Drosophila melanogaster: one gene and its partners. The protein of the gene in region 2 interacts with the protein of the main gene of each other region in a biochemical or structural test. Each region holds a gene or a part of one and is shown on either strand. Other genes may lie near its edges.

Region 1 (7,791 bases), about 11 Mb from region 2:
ATTTGATTTGCATTAAGACAATATCTGTCTGTTTCAGGCATACTTGCACACACGTTAGGATTAACTTTCGTAGACCATTTATGTTTTACTTTAAATTTATAGTTTGTGTGTGTTTTCTTGCTCTTTTAATTACATATACCTATACAATTATACTTGATTGATTTGATTTTAAACCCCCTTTTATAAACAACCAATTGATATACAACATCACAAAACATTTGCATACACATACCACACGTATGAAAGGGATTCATAAACCGTGAACGTAACGTCGCCAATTATTACGAGATAAAAACAAATGGAAATTAAATAATAAAAATAAACAATCAGAGTTCATCGTAGAGGAAGGCCGAATGTGAGAAAAATGGGAGAACAACTTTTACGTCTTAATAAACAATTATTGTTAACGAAGAAAATAAATGAAATGAAGCATATTGTACTAAAATATTTGATATACATACATTTGTTATTATTTGTAATACGAAAATTAAATAAAATTGCATCCAGATAATAAAATGAAATAAATAAAGAATGCAAACATCGTCGTCTGCTCAATTCTAGACTACTAAACAAATAAAACGCCATGACTCTGCGTCAACGTCACTGATTTATTTGAAATTCTTATTAGTCGTATTACGCTATTTAAAAGCATTTGCTGCGGGAGGAGGACTTGCTCCGACGACTCCCATCGCTGGGCCTTGTGCTCACGCTAACGGCGGTGATGCCCATGTCATCGCCCAAGACGGTTTCATCTACGCTGGTGTCGTCCGCAGGTAATTCATCGTCGCTGTTTTCCTCGCCGGCGAAGGAACTCCTGGGTGTTATGATAGAATCTCCGTGGAGATCCCTGTTGATCATATTTCCCATGTGGAAAGCAGAATGACAGTTGTTGGCAGCCAACAGGGCTTTGACTCGGAAGACCAGCGTCTCAATCGTTTCCCGCAGGCTGGGAATATAGCTGATTATAGCCGTATTCTTAATGGACTTGGAATGACAGCAGAGTTGGTGCAGAAAGCGTGTCACCTTCTGGAGCTCGTGCAAAAACCTTGTTAGCCTTTCGGGATCTTCCCGAACAATAGATTCCAGCGCAGACATTCCGTGCTGAAGCAGCAATTTAAGGAATAGCAGGGAGTGTTTTAGAAACAGCCCAAAGTTTCTGGGCTGTTCCACCTGCTGCACAATGCTGAGCAAGCCATTCAACAAATCGACTGCTGACTCCCATAACTTCAATTTATCACCACGGCTGTCGACGCTAACTTGACCACTTAGGGAGTGAATAAGCACCTCGCACAGTCCACGAAAGAGTAGTGGGAAGTTGGCCCTATGAGGGGAAAGAATTAATAAAACATACAAAATACGGATCAACTGATTTTCTTACTTTTTAAAGTTGGGGAAGGATGTCAGTGCTTTGTCCTTCGTATTCAGTATGCTGCATTGTTTAACCAGCTCAGTAAGTAGTTCGGTTTGACTCTTGGCATTCGATTTTTTCAGGAATCCCTTAACCAGCTCGTCCAAATAAATATTGCACTGACCACCTTTGTCCAAGGTGCCAGAGTAGTGGAACCATTTACGGCGCAGCAGCGTGCCACACAGTATCCCTGCATGAGTAATAAATTCTAAAATTGCACTTCATATTTCATGGTTAGTGCTTACGTAAGTCCTCGGCTTGCTGAAATCTCGGTTGGCTAGCATCGCTCTGTAAACTGCCCAGCTTTAACAAGTTACACAACAATCGATGAAGATGTACTGCAGTACTAAGATTCAGGACGGATTTCTCATACTTTAGAAAGTATTGAAAAGTTAGGTTGGCCAGCTGAGGAACACTTTGCTTCTCTAGTCTCTTCCATTGTGTTTTAGGCTGTAGCTTAAGCAAAGACTCTGCAAAAATAGTAACGTTACATTTTAAGGTTTGCGTAAAATTTAAAACACCTTACTATGGAGCAGTTGTTCCTGCGACTTATCACTCCACTCGCTCCAGGCGAAGTACAAGGCAAACAGCCGGACGCACAGCCCAAAGCACGATTTGATATAGCAAAATTGATCCTTAAACAGATCCAGATTGCTGTACACATGACTGACTTCCGTAAGCTGATTGTCAATGGCCTCGCCCAGGGTTATTAGGTGATTATTCACCTCGTGTAGGCATGGAAGTAGATCGCAAATAAAATCCTCCGGTTTGGCCAGATGCGGCCTAAAGCTGTCCGCATCATAAGAATCGTGATGTCGAAGGACTGCTGCTTCAAGTTTTTGAACCACGTCTTCCAGCAGGAATCGTAGCTCCAGAAGACCAAGAAACTCCCCCATTTGCTCCTCTTCCAGCTGGTGGTTCAGGACAAACTTCTGCTCGACCAAGAGCATGATGATTTCCACTTCCATTGGCCTGTATCTCTCCCGCGGCCCATACATCTGCTCAAAGTCAGTCTTCGTCTTAACGGTCTTGCACTGGCCAACCTTAATGGTGAAGTCAGCGATCGATGGTTGATTACCAGTTAAATCGGGTTCTGGTAGAGTTGCGTTTAGTTTGGCAGCTGGCTTAGGCCCTGGACGTTTCTGATTCTGGTTCGAGAGCTTGACGTTGGTGAGGAATTGATATGGCGGTGCCACGAAGTCGACGGGCGCTCTCGCCAGGAGGGGCTTCATTCTCTGCTCGATACGAATTAGTTCTCCAAGTCTAGATAGAACTCGACGCCGTGTGGGAGGATCACGTTGTGATGCAAACGCACTGATCGACACCCTCATCCAATTGACGGTGTGAAAGTAAATGCTCAAAATGTCTTTTTGCTGCTCCGCCTCAAAGTTTTCAAAAACGGACACATAGTTGTCATCCTCAAAGAATGAGGGCAACACAATGGCACAGCCTAGTAAAGCATTGATGCTCTCCAAGCTGTCTTGGTGGCGGTGCTTGTACAGCACTCTGACATAGTTGAACAGAGGAGCCAGCACGTATATAGAATCACAAGCTCTGTAAATGGGTACGTTAAAATACAAAAGCTTTATGAAACTCATGAGATAAGAAACTCACTTCACTTTGGGTGATAAAACTAGTTTTGAGATATTTATGCCAATATTAAGGACATCCGATTCAGTGTTTGCATCTGTATCGTCCAATTCATTGATATTTAACTGATATTCCAGTTTAATTCCCCTTAAAAGCAAATTTGATTAGCGACATACTTGTTTAAAAAAGTCAGTACATACTTTAAAGTCTCGGGCACATTCTCGGTGACAAAGCTTGCCTGGAAGCGGAATGTCACTAAGTCGCAGGCCCAAGCAATGAATTGGTTGTCCAACTCACAGCCGGAGGTTCCTTCATTGCGCTGATTGAAAACCGTGGCCAGTTCTTCAAAAAACAGGGCTAAGGACTCGGTACTATTTCCTATTGATGCCTCGGTGCGTACTGCATGGAAAAAATATTAATATACACGTTTAAGTATGTCAGGCACTTAATTACTGATTAAGTTGGCAGCCATTTTGCCTCGGCCATCGGGCAAGGAATCGACGTTTTCCACGCTGGCAATAAACTCGTCACGATCAACACCATTGTTCGCGATGCGTGCCATTGCATCGATGAGTTGCACACAGCCAATAATTCCCTGCTTTTTAATATTATCAATGGAGTTGATCAGCTGCTTTTTAACCACCATATCGACTTGCTCTTGGAGTTGCAGGCAGGGCGATAGATTTGGATCCGGAAATGCGACATGGCACAGAAGGTCCATAGCAACGCGGGTTTGTGTAAGACTTAGATCACTTATCCTATCCAGCATGGGTATAAGTAGAGTTGCACAATTCTGAACATCCTTGGCACTCTTTCGTTGCAGCTCGCGAAGCAATTCCAGTGCCATTGTTGTCAGGTGGGGCGATGATTTGTCACAGGTAAGCTCCAACAGCTTCTTTAGAATATTTTTCTGGATCGAGTTAAAAATCTTAAAAAGTATACTGCAAAAAAAAAAAACAAAGTAGAAATTAATATGATTTTTCTTTAGGGTTCTTTAGGTAACCACACCTGTACGAAGATTTGGCGAAATCGGACACGATGCGATTTTTCTCTCGCATAAAGTCGTGAAGGATGTTCATCAGTGTGGTTATGTGCTGCTCCAGGATGTGTCTATAGTGCTGTCGTATCTCTTCCAAAATGCTCACTGTAATATGCTCCAGTTTAATGCGTCGTCGAAGCTGACGAATTAGTAAAATGTAATGAATTTATTTTTTTTTTTATTTTTTAAGGAATACTTACAATATTTTCGATGTACAATGAATTATCTTCATTAACATGTATCAACAAAAGCAGAAGTATCATGTCAAAGGAGCTGCAAATATGTAATTATTTAAACTTGAATTCGTATAGGCCAGTCTATGTACTCACGTAAATTCGGCAGCTGGCACACTAGCAGATGACCTTTGGCACGCTTGATAAAACTTCTTCGATCGTATCAAGCCTAGTTCTAGGAAGCCAAAAAGTTCCAGCTGAGACTTCTTACTGTCTTCGCTTGCCGAGATTTTTTCCGTCTCATTTGTGTGACGCCAGTTGAAGATTCCACGCAGGCTGCCTATCAACTGCAAATGAACGAACTGAAACCGAATGCTTAGGGAACGGAGTAAGAACCTTACGTCGCGCACGCTGTCATCTGTATCAATTTTCAGAACGTTAAGCAGCAGCCTGATGAGATGCGGCAAGATCTAAGATAACAAAACATTTAAATAGAATTCTAGAATCGGTCTAATTTTCAAATTACCGCATCCGAACATTGACCACTTGTGGCGAAGTCCAAAATGCGCACTCGTAACTTGGCCTGCGTTCTGTCTGAAAGCGATAAGTTACCCAGAGTTTGCACTGTGGTCATGTGAAAGAGGTCTTCAGTGCTGGAATAGTTGATGCTGCCACGAAATTAAATTATACGATTAGTAAGAAAGAACGTAGATAGTCCATAGAGCGAGCGAGTACACAAATTCTTCTGCTCTGCTTTAAATAATTTTACTTACTTAAGCAGCTCGACGAACTCATCGTGCATACTGGCATCGAGTATCAACTCAGCATTGGCTATGATGTCCAATTTGGCCGATTCCGTAGCCCTGTTGAAAATGACCTCGATGCGACTGTAGATCTCTACTTTGTGCGAGGCGGTCAAGTAGCGCAGTTGCGTCAGCATCAGCGGTAGCAGTGGCAAGGGAATAGCTGCTTTGCCCATTATGACTCGATCAGATTTGGCCACCTCCTCGATCTTGTTCAGCAGCACCTCCACGCAGGCATCTCGCATAAAGTCGATCATGAGGAAGTTCATAAACATGCTGTTCTGGGACTGGTAGATCTGTTCCTCGCCAGCTGCGTCCACGGTGCAGCCGGTTAGGAGCTTCTGCACCAGCTTCGACCCAGGCGCCATTGCAGCATTCAGACCCGTCTTGAATGTCTCCATTTTGTCGGTATACGAGGAGGCACTCGTAAAGATTTCCCGCAGCTTGGAGACTATGGGGACATGATCGCAGGCCAGGATGAGGCTATCACCCTGGTCCAACTGGACCCCTGCTCGAACCAGGACCAGTTCGAAAAAGTTGTTCGGTTGTCGGGAGAGCGTTGCAATGTTCCGGCTGGAGGATTGAGTGCGACCCAGAGTGGCGGCCAGGATAACACTGTGCTGCGACAGAAATCGCTGCGTGTGCTCCTGGGAGGCGGGTATGTTCTCCTCGCTTCCGCCAGATGAGGACTCAACGGATATATTTGTGGTCGTCTCCGCCAGGCGCTGAAACACAGATTTTGGTCAAGTAAATGGAGTTCCAAATTCCGACTGGTCCGAATGTCCACTTACCGGCACTTTTATGGTCGCGTTCTCATCGATGGTGTTCAGAGGTTTCTTTGAGCGTTTTTTAAATTGTTTATACATAGTACTGGAAAGCTTTATAAGCTTCAATCTTCAATCTTAAATCACAAAATAATAAAAACAAAACAATTTAATGGCGCGTATGCAGGTGCAGTGTGACCGAGCATTGACATCAGTTTTTATCGATAGCCGCGGTGGTCGAGGTTCGTGAATTCGCTAAGCGCAATAACGAATATCGTAACAATTCTTATACAAATTTTACGATTTTCAAATGATTATAAAAATTAACTAATAATTCAACTCTTATAGAAATACTTATTTTTTTTTAACATTACTAATTAAAATCTAACAAAATAAATGAAGAAACGACCTTTAGAGCACTGTGTGTAGAAGTCTAAATAAAAATCCACTTTCGTCAATTCAAATTTTTATTGAAACATAATCTACATAATTCGTACAAAACTATTATTGTATTTTCTTTTTTTTAGGTTTACATAACATTCAATCATACGTAATGACTATAAAATGTTCCTTAATTTTATGATCGATACGGAAGCATGATCCATAAATTGATAATCGTATATGTAAATAAGATGATTATGAGCTTATTTGTTAATTTAAAGCCTTTCGATTTTAATTATTTAACTCGGGTGCTAGATGTCTCTGATAATTAGATAAATATTTCCTAGTATCGATTTTCAACTCTTAAAAGTGCAAAAACTCTATTGTGCCATACATTTTTAAATGTATATAAATACGCTTTATAAAAAGGAAGTACAACATATGTATGTCTTGAAGTGATTATGCCAGAAATTGACTTATTCCGGGGCCATTTAGACCCTTCACTACCTAGTTCATAGAAAATCACTAATTTGGCGTTGTTTTCAGTATTGCTATTGAGTATATATAATGATGAACATGATGCCGATTCTATCACACCAATGCAGTCCAAAGCGAAATTTGCGATTCTTTCACAATACTGTGCTAACGGAAACTCAACTCAGTGTCTTCCGGTTATTGCTTTTCATATTTCTAGATAGTAATAAACTATTGTTTTTTCGCTCGTCGTCTCTTGAAGCCCGTCATTTGCTTGAGCAGCTGTGAGTTTTCGTCATCCAGATCCATATTTGGCTCCCAGAGCCGCAGTCGTTTGGGTATATAGATGAGGCCCAGTAGAGTTATAGCTAAAAAGGCGAAAGATTCAATTTACTAAATGGTTCGGGGTGTTACAAAAAAGATATAATTTGTTATTACTGAATTTTAGTTGTGTTTACTTACAATTTAGCACACACGGGAAGATCACGTAGAAGTTAATGGTGCTGGAGCGAAAGTAGAGTGCCTCGGTGGCATAGAAGACCATGGTGAGGGCCAATGAGCAGCCGCCCATGCTGACCACCCTAAACGTAGGGAAATATCCCCATTAGTGACGATAATCTAACCAGAGGATATATGGGATTCACTTACGGCTTGTAGTGAATGTAGAGGGTGCAGTGGACGAGAGCGATGGCCTTCAGCAGGCAGTACATCCCGATGATCCGCGATATGGTGTAGTCCCCTGTGAAAGAACCCATCAAATGCGACTCCAGCAGCTCAATCCATCCCCACTTACCCTCTATGAACTGGGTGTCGCTGTGATCGCCCAGGAAGCTGCGTCTTTCTATGTAGCTCCTAAAGGCCGTGCCCAGGTCCATGAAGGCCACGAATGCTATCCATCCCCGGAAGGCGTACAGCAATCGCTCGCGGGGTCGTCCGCCAGACTGCATGGCAGCCCTACAAGTAAATTTTCTGTGTTATTTAATATCCATTCTCCCTTTAAAGGAAAATAATTTAATCTAAGGAATGGGTTTACCAATTGGTCTAATGTCCAACACAACTTGAAGACTTTATTACACATATCAGGGTTATATATTTAGAAAATTATTTGAAATTTTGACAAAATGGTCATTATACTGCAGAAAACTTGTAATAGAATGTA
Region 2 (3,613 bases):
ATCCAGGTAAGCATAAGGAGAAGTCCAATGTCCGTCTTCTATAAGCAATGAATTCACTGAAACTAACTACTTTACAGAGGGCTACATCCACGAGACAAACACCGTGTACCGGGTGATATCCCATGCCATCGGCTACAGCGGCGAGCCGTCCACAAAGTTTAGCTGGTTCCCCGGCTATCAGTGGCACATTATTCTGTGCAAGTTCTGCGCCCAGCACGTCGGGTGGGAGTTCAAGGCCGTGCATCCCAACCTAACACCCAAGGTGTTTTTCGGTTTGGCCGGCTCCAGCGTGCGGATTGGAAAAGCCAGCGAGTACTCGCCCTTCAATGGAACCACCTATGTGGTGCGGAATATGATGCGGATGATCTCAAGCGATATGGAATGAGGCTGGCGCGTTGTGAAGCGATTTTTCAGATGTCAACTCTGCTGCTGGCGTCGTCAGGAGAATGATGCGGTCCATCAGGTGGGACCTGTTTAATTCGTTTCACAACTACTTTTAGCAAAAACACACGGCGTTTGATGGCGTGGATGTAAACCTAATTGATATTTACGATTATTTGAATAATAAGTTACTCTTAAATATTTGCTTTTAATATTATGGTTACAAATTTCAATCATTTAAAAGTGCCGCAAATGAGGTGGACAGCTTCTGAAAAAGATAAAGCAGTTGTACATTGGCAATAGATGAAATGATAGGCAATATTACCGCCTTGCAGAAGGGACACTGGCCGAAGGAGACCTCCAGAAAGGTCTTGCCATCCATCAGAGTCTTAAACCACTCCTCCAAACAGACGGCATGGCACTTTAGCACACATTTGGCATTGTCGCAGGAGACGAGGGGCACCTCGCCACCATCCAGGCGATAGGCAAAGCAAATGTTACAGCGCAGCTCTTCGTTGTCCTCTTCATCCAGCTTGGGTCCATCCGACCAGTCTGGCATGGGAAAGTAGCACAAGTCGAACATTCGGAGTAGGTTCTTGTGAATGTTCATTTCGGAGTCCCAGTTACTTAGACCATCGCTGAGAACGTGGCGCAGGCGGGCCACCTCTTCCGTGGGCCCAATGATCTTTAGCGACATGGATGCAATGCAGGCAAAGGGATCCGCGATGGTCAGCTTCAAGTAGACGCGATCCTTGAGAGGGAACAGTCGTGTTTTGTGTTTGCTGCTGATGGGCGATGGTTGCAGCACATGACAAAGCTCGTCGATATCCATGAAGTTGTCGTAGAAGGGACGCAGATCCTCGAGAAGCTTGCGAAAGAGGTTTAGGGCCTCCTCTAGGTTTCCAGCACTCTTGGTCAGCATTTCACCCAGCGATACGCAGTCGGGCAAACTGTGATCAAGCAAGAGAAGAGACGGGATCTTAAGCTCCAGATAATGCTGCTCGAAGTCGGTGAATTCGCTGAAACGAATCATGGAACAGGCCTCGTCCACTTGCAGGCAGTACTCGTTTGACTTGTACAAGGCCAGGATATCGTAATATATGTTCCCCTCCCGACATAGTTCCTTTGGCACTGTTGGGGCTTTTTGGGCAGGAAGAATCTTTGGCAAATGGTCCAGAAAATCCTCCAGCAGCCAATCGTCCTGTAACTTGAGATTAGCCGATGTGTACAGCTTGTACTCCAAGCTTTCCTGGACGTAGAGCTGGAAACCATGAAGAGCTGGGTGGTGTGGCAGATAGAGTTTAAGGCGGCGCCATGTATCCTTAATTATACAATCATTATTAGTTTGGCGGGAAAAATTGAAATACGGATAACTTACCTCACTGCCCAAAACTCCTCTGATGATGCACGCTCCACTTGGCTGAAGCTCCGCTGCCAGACCAGGATACTTTTGACACAGAAGGCGCTCTACATCTTCGTTACTTTCCATTATATTTGATTTTGGTCAGATTGTGCTTGAATGACTTTTGTTTACATTTTATGTTTTGAACGGCCATAGTTAGAGATGTGCAGTCTTCGATGACACAAAGTCTTCAATCACGATCGATAGGAAATTAATCGGCCGCTTTTTTAAATTTGATTGCTCGATCAAACCTTAAATTATATGTTTATTAACCCTTCGAGCCAATATTCCGCCTTGCTTACATATTCACCCTCTGGCTGTTTTGTTTACTAGGTATAGCCGGCAACATTGTAGTTCAGCCTCTCCCTACTTATCAGCCAAATTTACGTTATTTACTGATTCGAATCGGCATTGTTTGCTCTTCGTCAGAGCGCAACACCTGCAGGCCACAGTGGTTTTCTTTTGTAACACCTGCGTGGCGGCCCCGTATCAATGGCAATAGCCACCGATTTTGATAAACTGCTCTCTACAGGCGTTGGTCATCGTTCGAACACGGGGCTATTTAAGGTTCTCCACCAGCCCCATCGATTCCACTCACGATTGTCATCTGCGTGCGCGCGTACTCAATGTATATTGTATTCTTCTGAAGTAAGATTAAAAAAGATTCCATCCAGAAAAATGCTGCGAATCGTTGTAACTTTGGCTCTAATTCTGGCCACAGTCAATGCCACCAATGTCCAGCAGTGTAAGTAGCTAAAAACTCTTTTATTTTGTTGGAAAAACATCAAATCATTTTAAATCGACCAGTTTGTTAGATTGGATTCATGATTCTAACAGATTTCTATGACGATGATTCACTTCGCAGACTTTGTCTCGAAAACTATTGCCAAAAATACGTTCTGAGAGAAATTTAAAGTCCTAACGTGTATCTGTTGGCCAGGTTGATATGGCTTATCAACAAACAGCTAATCTCTTAGAAAAAAAAACATAGCCTTCTTTTGAGCTCACCTTTTGATTCTTCGAAAACATATTTCCGCTTTCAGGCAAAAATAAGCCGTTTCCACTGGATGTGAATATTAAGGATTGCGAGGAACCGCCGTGCGTTGTGTACAAAGGAACCATAGCAGTCATGGAGGTGCACTTCCTGGGCAGTAAGTTTCGGCCATCTATATCCGTGTCCACTTGAATCTCATCATCGATGTCTTGCAGATAACAACAATATCAAGAGCATTACGGCCACCACAACGGCAAAGGTTTTGGGCATGAATCTGCCATATGCCCTACCCGACGAAGTGTCCGATGTGTGCCGCAATCTCCTGTACGGTGCCATCTGTCCCATCGACAAGGACGAGGATGTCACGTATCAGTTCAACTTCTATGTGGAGCCTTCGTTCCCGGAAATAACGGCGGATGTCACTGTCACGTTGAACGATGCGCAGAACGAACCGATCACCTGCTTCGTCGTGAGCTGTAAAATCCGGAAGGGAGCCACTGCAGCACAGATGGACGGATATCTGTTGGACTGGACGAACCCCCTTTAAGCCGACGATGTACGCAACTCCAGCCGTTTCGGCCGACTGAATATTTCCACTTGTTTGCCAAATAATAAACCACAAAACTCTTGCACAGATAAGACCATTTGTTTACCTTGGCTACGTCACGAATTCCAGTGTACTCAGTGCACAATCAGGCTGAAGATTAACACATTTCTGGGCACCGCCGATTAGATATTCAAGCGTATTTATTTATATACAGTCATTTGTGACGTTCCTTTTTGCACCGAAAGTCTATTAATTTATTTCCACTGATTCAGTGGCACAATTGGCTAAT
Region 3 (7,548 bases), on a different chromosome or scaffold from region 2:
TTGGTAATTGTTTTCGCTACTCTTGGCTCGAACGGCCCAAACAGACAATATGCTTATAATGTTTATAAATATTCAAAAAAATAAACCAGTTGTCTATCGCTGAATGGAATTTTGCAGGCTCCAATCGATTGAAAGTCAACAAACAAACATTCGTAGTTGCTAGAATTGTCTAGAAATTTGGATAAGATAGCATTGTTTTGTTTTTACCAAGAATAGTTGCTATTTAAGGGTTCTTTTATTAAATTTGTTATGTGATTACTAAAAAATGCACTAAAATAGTATAGTATGCATAGTATAGTATAGGTATTAACTTTTTAAGCATCTTCCAGATTCCAAAATAGTATACTATACATAGTATACTATAGGTATTAATTTTTTAAGCATCTTCCAGATTCTAGGAAATATTTGTGAGCTTCAGATGATCAGTAGACCTCTCCCACATCAGTGAACACCACATCGAGTTGGTCGTTATAAAAAACTCTTTATTCCATACAAGTATTTTATCACAATAACTTAAGCTCTAGATGGGTGGTGAGTGCTGGACGGACACACCCAGGAAAGTACAAAGTAGATGGATTCAATGACAGAAACTACATAAATATTAGGTAGAAGAAGGGACGGTTAGTCGCATGGATTGTGATGTTTGTGTGTGAGTTTGGGTGTGGAGAATGCTGCCTTTGGTTCGCTGGATTGCAGAGCTCGAGGGGAAGCAGCCGCCTTTGGCAACACATCGGTCGCGGAGGACCGATCGCTATCCGGATCGGAATGCGTATGCGGATGCGGAGAGCCCTACATGCCCTCGCAGGTGGACATGCAGTCCTTGTAGCTGGCGAAGTTGTTCTCGTTGCCGTCACAGCCGCCGAACTTGAACTCCACGCACTTCTTCTGCTCCGGATCGTAGCGCCAACGGGGGATCAGGGCGCGGCAGACGCCCTTGCGTGCCGGCATGAGGCAGAACTGCTCCGGATGGGTGTTGCGCCCGGTATTGGCCACATCGTCCAGCGAGATGGCGTCAAAGAAGTCGCTCACGTCGTCGTAGAGGTCCATGGGAAACGCCTCGCTCCATCTGATCCCCGCCAGCAGGATCAGCACCACTGCCACTCCAACGTACTCTTTCAGTTGTCCGCGCATTTTGTGTACTTGATTTAGCTTCGTATTTAATTCACTTGATCACTTGGCGATTGTCTTCACGCAACTGTTGGCGCTGCAGTCCAGCTTTTGGATTTATATGGTGCCACTTTGTAGTCCGAAGCGGGCGAAGGGAAGCGAATACTAGACAATACTCCCATCTAAGAGCCAGCAGAGCTTTCCGTTCGACTCCAACGCTCTTTGGTTACTCTTTCGAAGAGTCCGCTTTTGTACTGAAAATCCAAGTGTAGATATAACTACTTTTGTTTATTTACTGTTGTGAGCATTATCATCGTAAAACATACAACCATATTTTTTGTTTTTGTTATTTTATGGAAAAACAACCTGTTTGATTTTCTATATGGAGTAGACAAATAAATTTTTTCTTAAACTACAAATTTAAAGCTATTTTCCATTGGGTTTCATTGAAATAGTTTTTATATTTCAATTAGAAATATAGAATGCCTATTTCTTAGTTTTGAAATTGAAAATTAAATGTTTTATGGAAAAGATTACTGTTATCACTATTTATGGATTTTTTTAAAATTCCCGCCAATTGCATGCTATCGATATCAGTGGGTGGTGCAATCGGTAATCATATCAGGCATTTACCATTCCTAATTTGTGGTAGTTGGTGAAATCTGGCGCGTCTTTGTTTAAATCGTAAATTATTACATAAATTTAGTTGGGTATGGCACGCGAATCAATTCTAACGTGGATGCGGAGTCTGGGTGAGAAGGCGCGCTTTGATGAGCTGGAACTGCTCATTCAAAACACTCCAATAGAAAAGGTTGGACCCATAAGGCGGAAGGCAATATAAATCTTAATTGATAAACATTGCTTGATAGTTAAAGGAAACCCTTAAATCCACAATGACACGCAGCGAGGGCATAACGTATTGGAACTACCTTCTCCGTGGCTTCAATCCGGAGAGCAAGGATGCGCTAGCCAAGCGATTCGAATGTGTCCGCAGCTTCATGGACGGACTGAGCAGCACGGAACTGAGCTACAAACAGACTTTCGATCTGATCACGCGCCTGTCGCAGGACCTGGCCACCTTTCCGTCCGAGCAGCTGGCCTGGATCGTGGAGCACTGCATGGACGGGATCCGACAAGGAGACGCCAAGTGCGTCGGCTGGAAGGATTTGCTGCCGGACGCGCTGTCGCTGCTTTTGGCCAGACCGCGGTTTCTTCTGAACGGCATATCCATAGATGGAATGGAGTTCAGGGACACTACCGTAAGGAGCATTGCCACCATGCAATGGCCAGCCTCAATCCTCACGCCAATTGCCGACATGTTCAAGTGGGTGACCACCCTTAAATTAACCACAATTTAACCACACAACTCATACAATCCCCCTAGGACCATGAATCTTAGCAGTGGCGAAATTGTGACAGTACTCAACAAATTCTCTGGCGCCCTGCAGGAGCTATCTCCCATGGAACTCCCAGCGCTGTGCTTCCAGCTCTTTTCGATGTGCAGCACTGCTTCCCAGTTGATCATTCCGTTGCTGGCCCTGGAGAAGTATTTCCATCGCAACTACTACAAGCGGCTCTTCTCAGACATGTGTAGCAACTCAACGAACTTGGATAGCATTGGTGAGCCTGCACCATATAGAAGACTATATTCCTAGAAATTGACAGCATCTGATCTTTAGACTTGTTCTCGGACAAGGAACTAAGGGAGGCCGAAGAGACTATCCTGCATCACTTGAACTACTGTACTATGTACAAACTTACTGAAAAACATTTGGCCATAATGCTGAGAGTAAGCAGGTCCCAAATCAATCGATCGCTTAGTAACTTAACTAACCATGTTTCAGAACTTTCTGCACATGCCCGATGTGATCCTAACTCCGTTTATGCTTAGCGCCATTATCTCGATGACCAGCATTAATCGCGATCCAGAGTCCGCTAGAATATCTCATTCCATTTTGCTACCTTTTTTGCGCAATGTGATCAAAAACAACGAGGAAGAGCGAACGTTAGCCGACTACTCCGTGTGGTATCGGGATACATTGCAACGCAAGCAAGTCGATTTGCAGCAGGTCCTCACGGTGCTCATTGATCAGAACAAAGACGGCAAGGATGTGATAACTCCTGGGCTGGTTCATCTCGTATTTTACTTGCTGAAATCGCAATCGCCCAAGATGCACACATTGGCCATCACATTTCTAACCAAGTTCATTCGCAAGCGATTCATTTTTGGACAAGGCATCATAAAGCTTATTTCAGAGTGGATGATAGTATACCAGGAACAAAATCAGTTCTCGGGTAGGTCAAGCAAAATGTTCTTAATAATTCTATGCAACAAGAATACATATTTGCAGAATGCCTCACACTTCTAAGTGTGGCTGATACGTATACGGTCTCCGAGTGCATGAAACCAATTCAATCTGTTTTGGAGCACATGCAATGGGCAAGTTAGTCCAATGGCATAATTGTTCTTTAAGCTAACTCCGTTGTAAATATTTTAGCTGTCTGGTGAGCAGTCCATGCGCATGATGAACTTTATTCTACCTTTGCTAAAGATCTCTAATCGCGTCCGTGATGCGCTAATTGATGTACTTTGCAAAGCAATGAGCTCGAGGTGGGTCTAATTACCTGTTCGTGGTACTGTATTTACTTTTTATTCTGCACTTTATATTTTAGTGGAATTCAAAAACGGCGAATGGCGATTTATGGGTTCTGCATGATCCTCAAACAACTAAACAACAGCAATGCTGTGCGCCAGACCTCCAGCGCCACCAGTTTCTGCACTCAACACAGTATCTCTGGCTACTCCATAATGACCCAGAACACACTGGGAAGTCGTAGTAATCCTCAAAGAAATTTCGACATGCTCACGTTGGAAATTATTGGAATGTTGCGAAACTGCTTGCAACAACAATTCGATATACGGTGCTCCCTGTATGAAAGTGAGTCGAATGAAATCAAATAATACAACTTCTAATAATGCATTTCAAATAGATCTTCAGAGAGCAGTGGAGCTCAATGCTAAACTAGTGCCACATGTGCTGCAAGTCATTGACTGGCACTTTCGCAGCTTCTTCGACACCCCCTCTGCAGAGGATGCTGGTGACGATCTAGACACAGTATTCCGCATTCGCTACGATCAATTGGTTAGCTCTAGCGATGATCAACACATGGAGATTCAGCTTAAAGACAACCTGGGCAAGTTGATTCAGTTCGTGGCCAACTGCTTGGCTGTTTTCGATCGAGCTCCATCGGGCTACGACACTCGTGAGATGAATCGGCTCATGAGTTTCTGTGTGGATCGTATGGTGGCAAACAGATTACCCCTGGAAGAGATAGTGAGCAAGATTATTACTTTTAAATTTCAATAAACTAATGCCAACTGATTTCAGACGCCGCCAGCCACACATCTAAAATGTGCCCTCGTTCTGCAGCAACTGAATATCATTGAAGGAATTATTTGCCACTTATTGCTCAAATCCAAGCCACAAAACAATGCTGTTTGTCAAATATTGCCTCTTTTTAATCAGCATTGTAAGCTTTTGGAGAGTCTTAAGGCATTATCGGATGCATCCAAGAAAGCCCATAAACAGTTGAAGCAAACCGCCAAGAATAATAGCACATCAACGTGCAATTTGACACTGAACGGCGTCCCGGTGAAGACCATGTGTACACAGCCTGATAATATTTGGGACTTGGCCATATTGGATAAGCTGCTCCATCTACTTCTTGAGTTAGTAACCTTGACGTTAATCCTTTCTACTTCTTAAAACTGTTTTCAATTTTCCATTTAGTGACGTCGTAGCCTTTGCTGCTCCAGAAAAAACAGTGCTCTTGCGCTCCAACGAGCCCCTCGTCCGGTATGTTTTATCCGTAACGGCCAGCAGAGTGGAGTCTATACGCCTGGAGCCCGATTATAAGCAGTTGGCCTACAGTAAACGCACCTTTAAGCAATTGACGGACATTACAAAGGTCATTTACGAGCGCTGCATTCAACGCTTGCCGGAGCTGTGGAAAAATTTCGACATGCAGAGCGCCGCCCTAGCCACTCAGTGTTTTTCTGAATGCCTAAAAACAGCTCATGAAACGTACTCAAAGAAGTTCGAAGATTTTGTCAAGTCATTTGGTAAGTTAAGTCATGCTAAGTATATGAGGATAATCTAAACTATGGTAAAACTTTTAGATTTGGCATCTATAAAGGGAAGCAGAAACAAGGAAGTGGTTTACACAATTCAGGATGTTTTAGACGACTTTATGACGGAGTACGGCACTGATGATTCGATTTGTAAAAATGAGTTCGTTTCCAAATTGCCTGTTTACCTCTTGGAGTCGCTTGAAATTCTTTTGGATCACATTGACTACCAGGATCGTGCTGCCACCGAATCGTACACTTGGCTGCTAAATTTTTGCAGCAAAAACGAGATTCTCAACAGTGAAATGGGCCTGGTGCACAGAATGCTATTCGTTCAGCGTCAAAAGACCCACTTAGGTCCCTTCTTCGACAGTGTTGCTCGGCAATTGGGTCACGTACTGGGCGTACAAAATGAAGACGCTCCCTCAGAATCTGTGGAGCTAACTCTAAAGTCCATAAGTACAGTGACCATCGAGAGTTGCCTACAGCATCTGTATGCTGCCATCCAAAAGCAGCTGAACGATGTGGACTACTTTGTGACGAAAGCCAACAATCTAAACTACAAATGCCAAGTGGTTCCCGAAATTGACCAGATATATTGGCGGGGCAACCTGGATTCCATGGATCGTTCCATTTGCACACAAATAATCCACATAAGTCGCACTTTGCTGGTGCTCACAAACGTTTGTATTCCTCTAGGTTCTTTGATGGACGGTCTTATGAAGTTGTTGATTCAGCACTACACTTGTTTGAAAAGCCTGACCAAGCACTACATATCGAGCTACACATCAGATACGTCCATTGAGAACATTAAAAGCACCAAGTGAGTCCATCTAGTCGTAGATTTAATGGATATCTAATCTGCATTTTATTCTCCAACAGATTTGAACTTCTGCTACGTGCAGTTGGTAAACAACTTCCGGCGAATATTTACGAGCTCATCACGTACATAGAAGCTAATACCCTGGATGAGGAAGCGCAGCAGCATACAAAAAAGCGGAAGGTCCAGGCAGAACGTGCTAAAGTTCTGAGAGAGACTCGGCTAATTCCCAAGGTTATAATGGTTATCGAGGACTTCAATAAGCACATTATTCTCCTGTCCAAAAAGACCAAAAGCAAGAATAGACTTACGGACTACCTCCACTTGGGAACCATGCGCGACTTCGATATCAAGTCGACGGATTTGAGGGCAGCTATAGAGCGTAGTATCTCGGATGGCCGCAACATTTCTACCGAAGACAGTAATGCTGAGGATCGGGATGAGGATGAGGATGAAAATGAGAATGTAGAGGAAGACGATGACGCACAGTCCACCACGTATCCAGAGGACTTGGAGGAGAAGGAAGATGAATGCTTAGTCATAGAGAAGAAGGAAGAAAGGCGCAGGAGGCGTGCACCTAGCAGTGAAGCAGAGGATCCACAACCCAAACGAAAAAGAGGCCGCAAAGCTGCAGAACAGCTGGAAGCTGAAGATGAAGAGCAAGTCGAGGAAGAGCAGCCTGAAACGACTTTAAAATTAAGGCGAAACAAAAAAGTGGAGCCAAAAACCAAAAGGAGTGTGGCCATTAAAAAACCCGAGGAGCAGCCATCCCATGAGAGTCGTACCAGTAAAAGGTCAAAAGGTCCAGCGGATAAGCAAACAGCGGAGCCAGCCAAAGTGGATCTTTGCGTTCCCGAAGTGCCCGCTGAGAAGAAGAAACCACAACCTAGTCGTAGACTGGGAATACCTCGTACATTAAGGAAATGATGTTTTGTTAAAAAAAAGTATATTAAAAAGTATATGTATTTAAATCATGCCAGTCCATTGCTTATTCAAAAATGGTTGCGATTATCGCAATTACTTAATTTTCATTATGTGCTGTATTGCTGTTTTCTAGAATTTCCACATGTTCAAAAAGAAAAATTGTTCAATGTTTTTGTGAATCTTGTTCATTTAATATCATTGGAATTTTAGCTACCTAATCTCTGTAAATTAAAAGGCTGCTTCCCATTATTTATTAGTACTGCAAATAAAAAATATATATAAGTATATTCATAAGCGAAACTTGATAAATTAAACAATGTACTCACTTGCAGCGTGTGCCCATGTCCAGAAACAATAACACTTCCGTCATTGCCCACCGAGACAGTTCGTCCATCCGGACGCTTCCACACCGACACACTATCATCCCAAATTCCTGCTTGATCGTCACGAGCCACGAAGTTTTCTCCCTGGACGCGGCCATCTTTGATGCTGCGGCTGTCCCTTTCAACAATCAGTCCTTCAAAGCCCTTTGCCAAGGTCGCTCCACAGGAAACTGGGGACTACGCCT

What was found.
Region 1: the proteins of Fancl (region 2) and Fancd2 form a complex in vitro, tested with the Drosophila melanogaster proteins (one study listed by BioGRID).
Region 3: the proteins of Fancl (region 2) and FANCI form a complex in vitro, tested with the Drosophila melanogaster proteins (one study listed by BioGRID).

What each region holds. Positions count from the first base shown.
Region 1 is NT_033777.3:20,810,215-20,818,005, forward strand, and holds Fancd2 (Fancd2), read right to left. Parts: upstream 5,977-7,791; 5' UTR 5,880-5,976; coding exon 5,805-5,879; intron 5,739-5,804; coding exon 4,984-5,738; intron 4,879-4,983; coding exon 4,737-4,878; intron 4,681-4,736; coding exon 4,612-4,680; intron 4,558-4,611; coding exon 4,367-4,557; intron 4,311-4,366; coding exon 4,238-4,310; intron 4,177-4,237; coding exon 4,007-4,176; intron 3,940-4,006; coding exon 3,452-3,939; intron 3,398-3,451; coding exon 3,199-3,397; intron 3,146-3,198; coding exon 3,023-3,145; intron 2,963-3,022; coding exon 1,935-2,962; intron 1,879-1,934; coding exon 1,654-1,878; intron 1,599-1,653; coding exon 1,379-1,598; intron 1,322-1,378; coding exon 643-1,321; 3' UTR 590-642; downstream 1-589. Other genes in the region: CG17270 (uncharacterized protein), read right to left, coding at 6,864-7,000, 7,095-7,213, 7,281-7,371, 7,426-7,586. UniProt on the Drosophila melanogaster protein: Required for maintenance of chromosomal stability. Together with Fancl, and probably Fanci, involved in DNA repair of damage caused by agents that induce interstrand cross-links but not agents that cause double strand breaks.
Region 2 is NT_033777.3:10,050,937-10,054,549, forward strand, and holds Fancl (fancl), read right to left. Parts: upstream 1,934-3,613; 5' UTR 1,871-1,933; coding exon 1,760-1,870; intron 1,703-1,759; coding exon 707-1,702; intron 650-706; coding exon 611-649; 3' UTR 572-610; downstream 1-571. Other genes in the region: ohgt (ohgata), read left to right, coding at 1-6, 78-385; Npc2e (Niemann-Pick type C-2e), read left to right, coding at 2,462-2,528, 2,827-2,934, 2,993-3,324. UniProt on the Drosophila melanogaster protein: Ubiquitin ligase protein that mediates monoubiquitination of Fancd2. Ubiquitination of Fancd2 is stimulated by ionising radiation.
Region 3 is NT_033778.4:8,934,052-8,941,599, reverse strand, and holds FANCI (fanconi anemia complementation group I), read left to right. Parts: upstream 1-1,810; 5' UTR 1,811-1,846; coding exon 1,847-1,918; intron 1,919-1,976; coding exon 1,977-2,431; intron 2,432-2,491; coding exon 2,492-2,727; intron 2,728-2,786; coding exon 2,787-2,896; intron 2,897-2,951; coding exon 2,952-3,402; intron 3,403-3,458; coding exon 3,459-3,547; intron 3,548-3,605; coding exon 3,606-3,718; intron 3,719-3,780; coding exon 3,781-4,046; intron 4,047-4,098; coding exon 4,099-4,442; intron 4,443-4,496; coding exon 4,497-4,837; intron 4,838-4,898; coding exon 4,899-5,230; intron 5,231-5,287; coding exon 5,288-6,059; intron 6,060-6,118; coding exon 6,119-6,983; 3' UTR 6,984-7,024; downstream 7,025-7,548. Other genes in the region: CG13748 (uncharacterized protein), read right to left, coding at 790-1,131.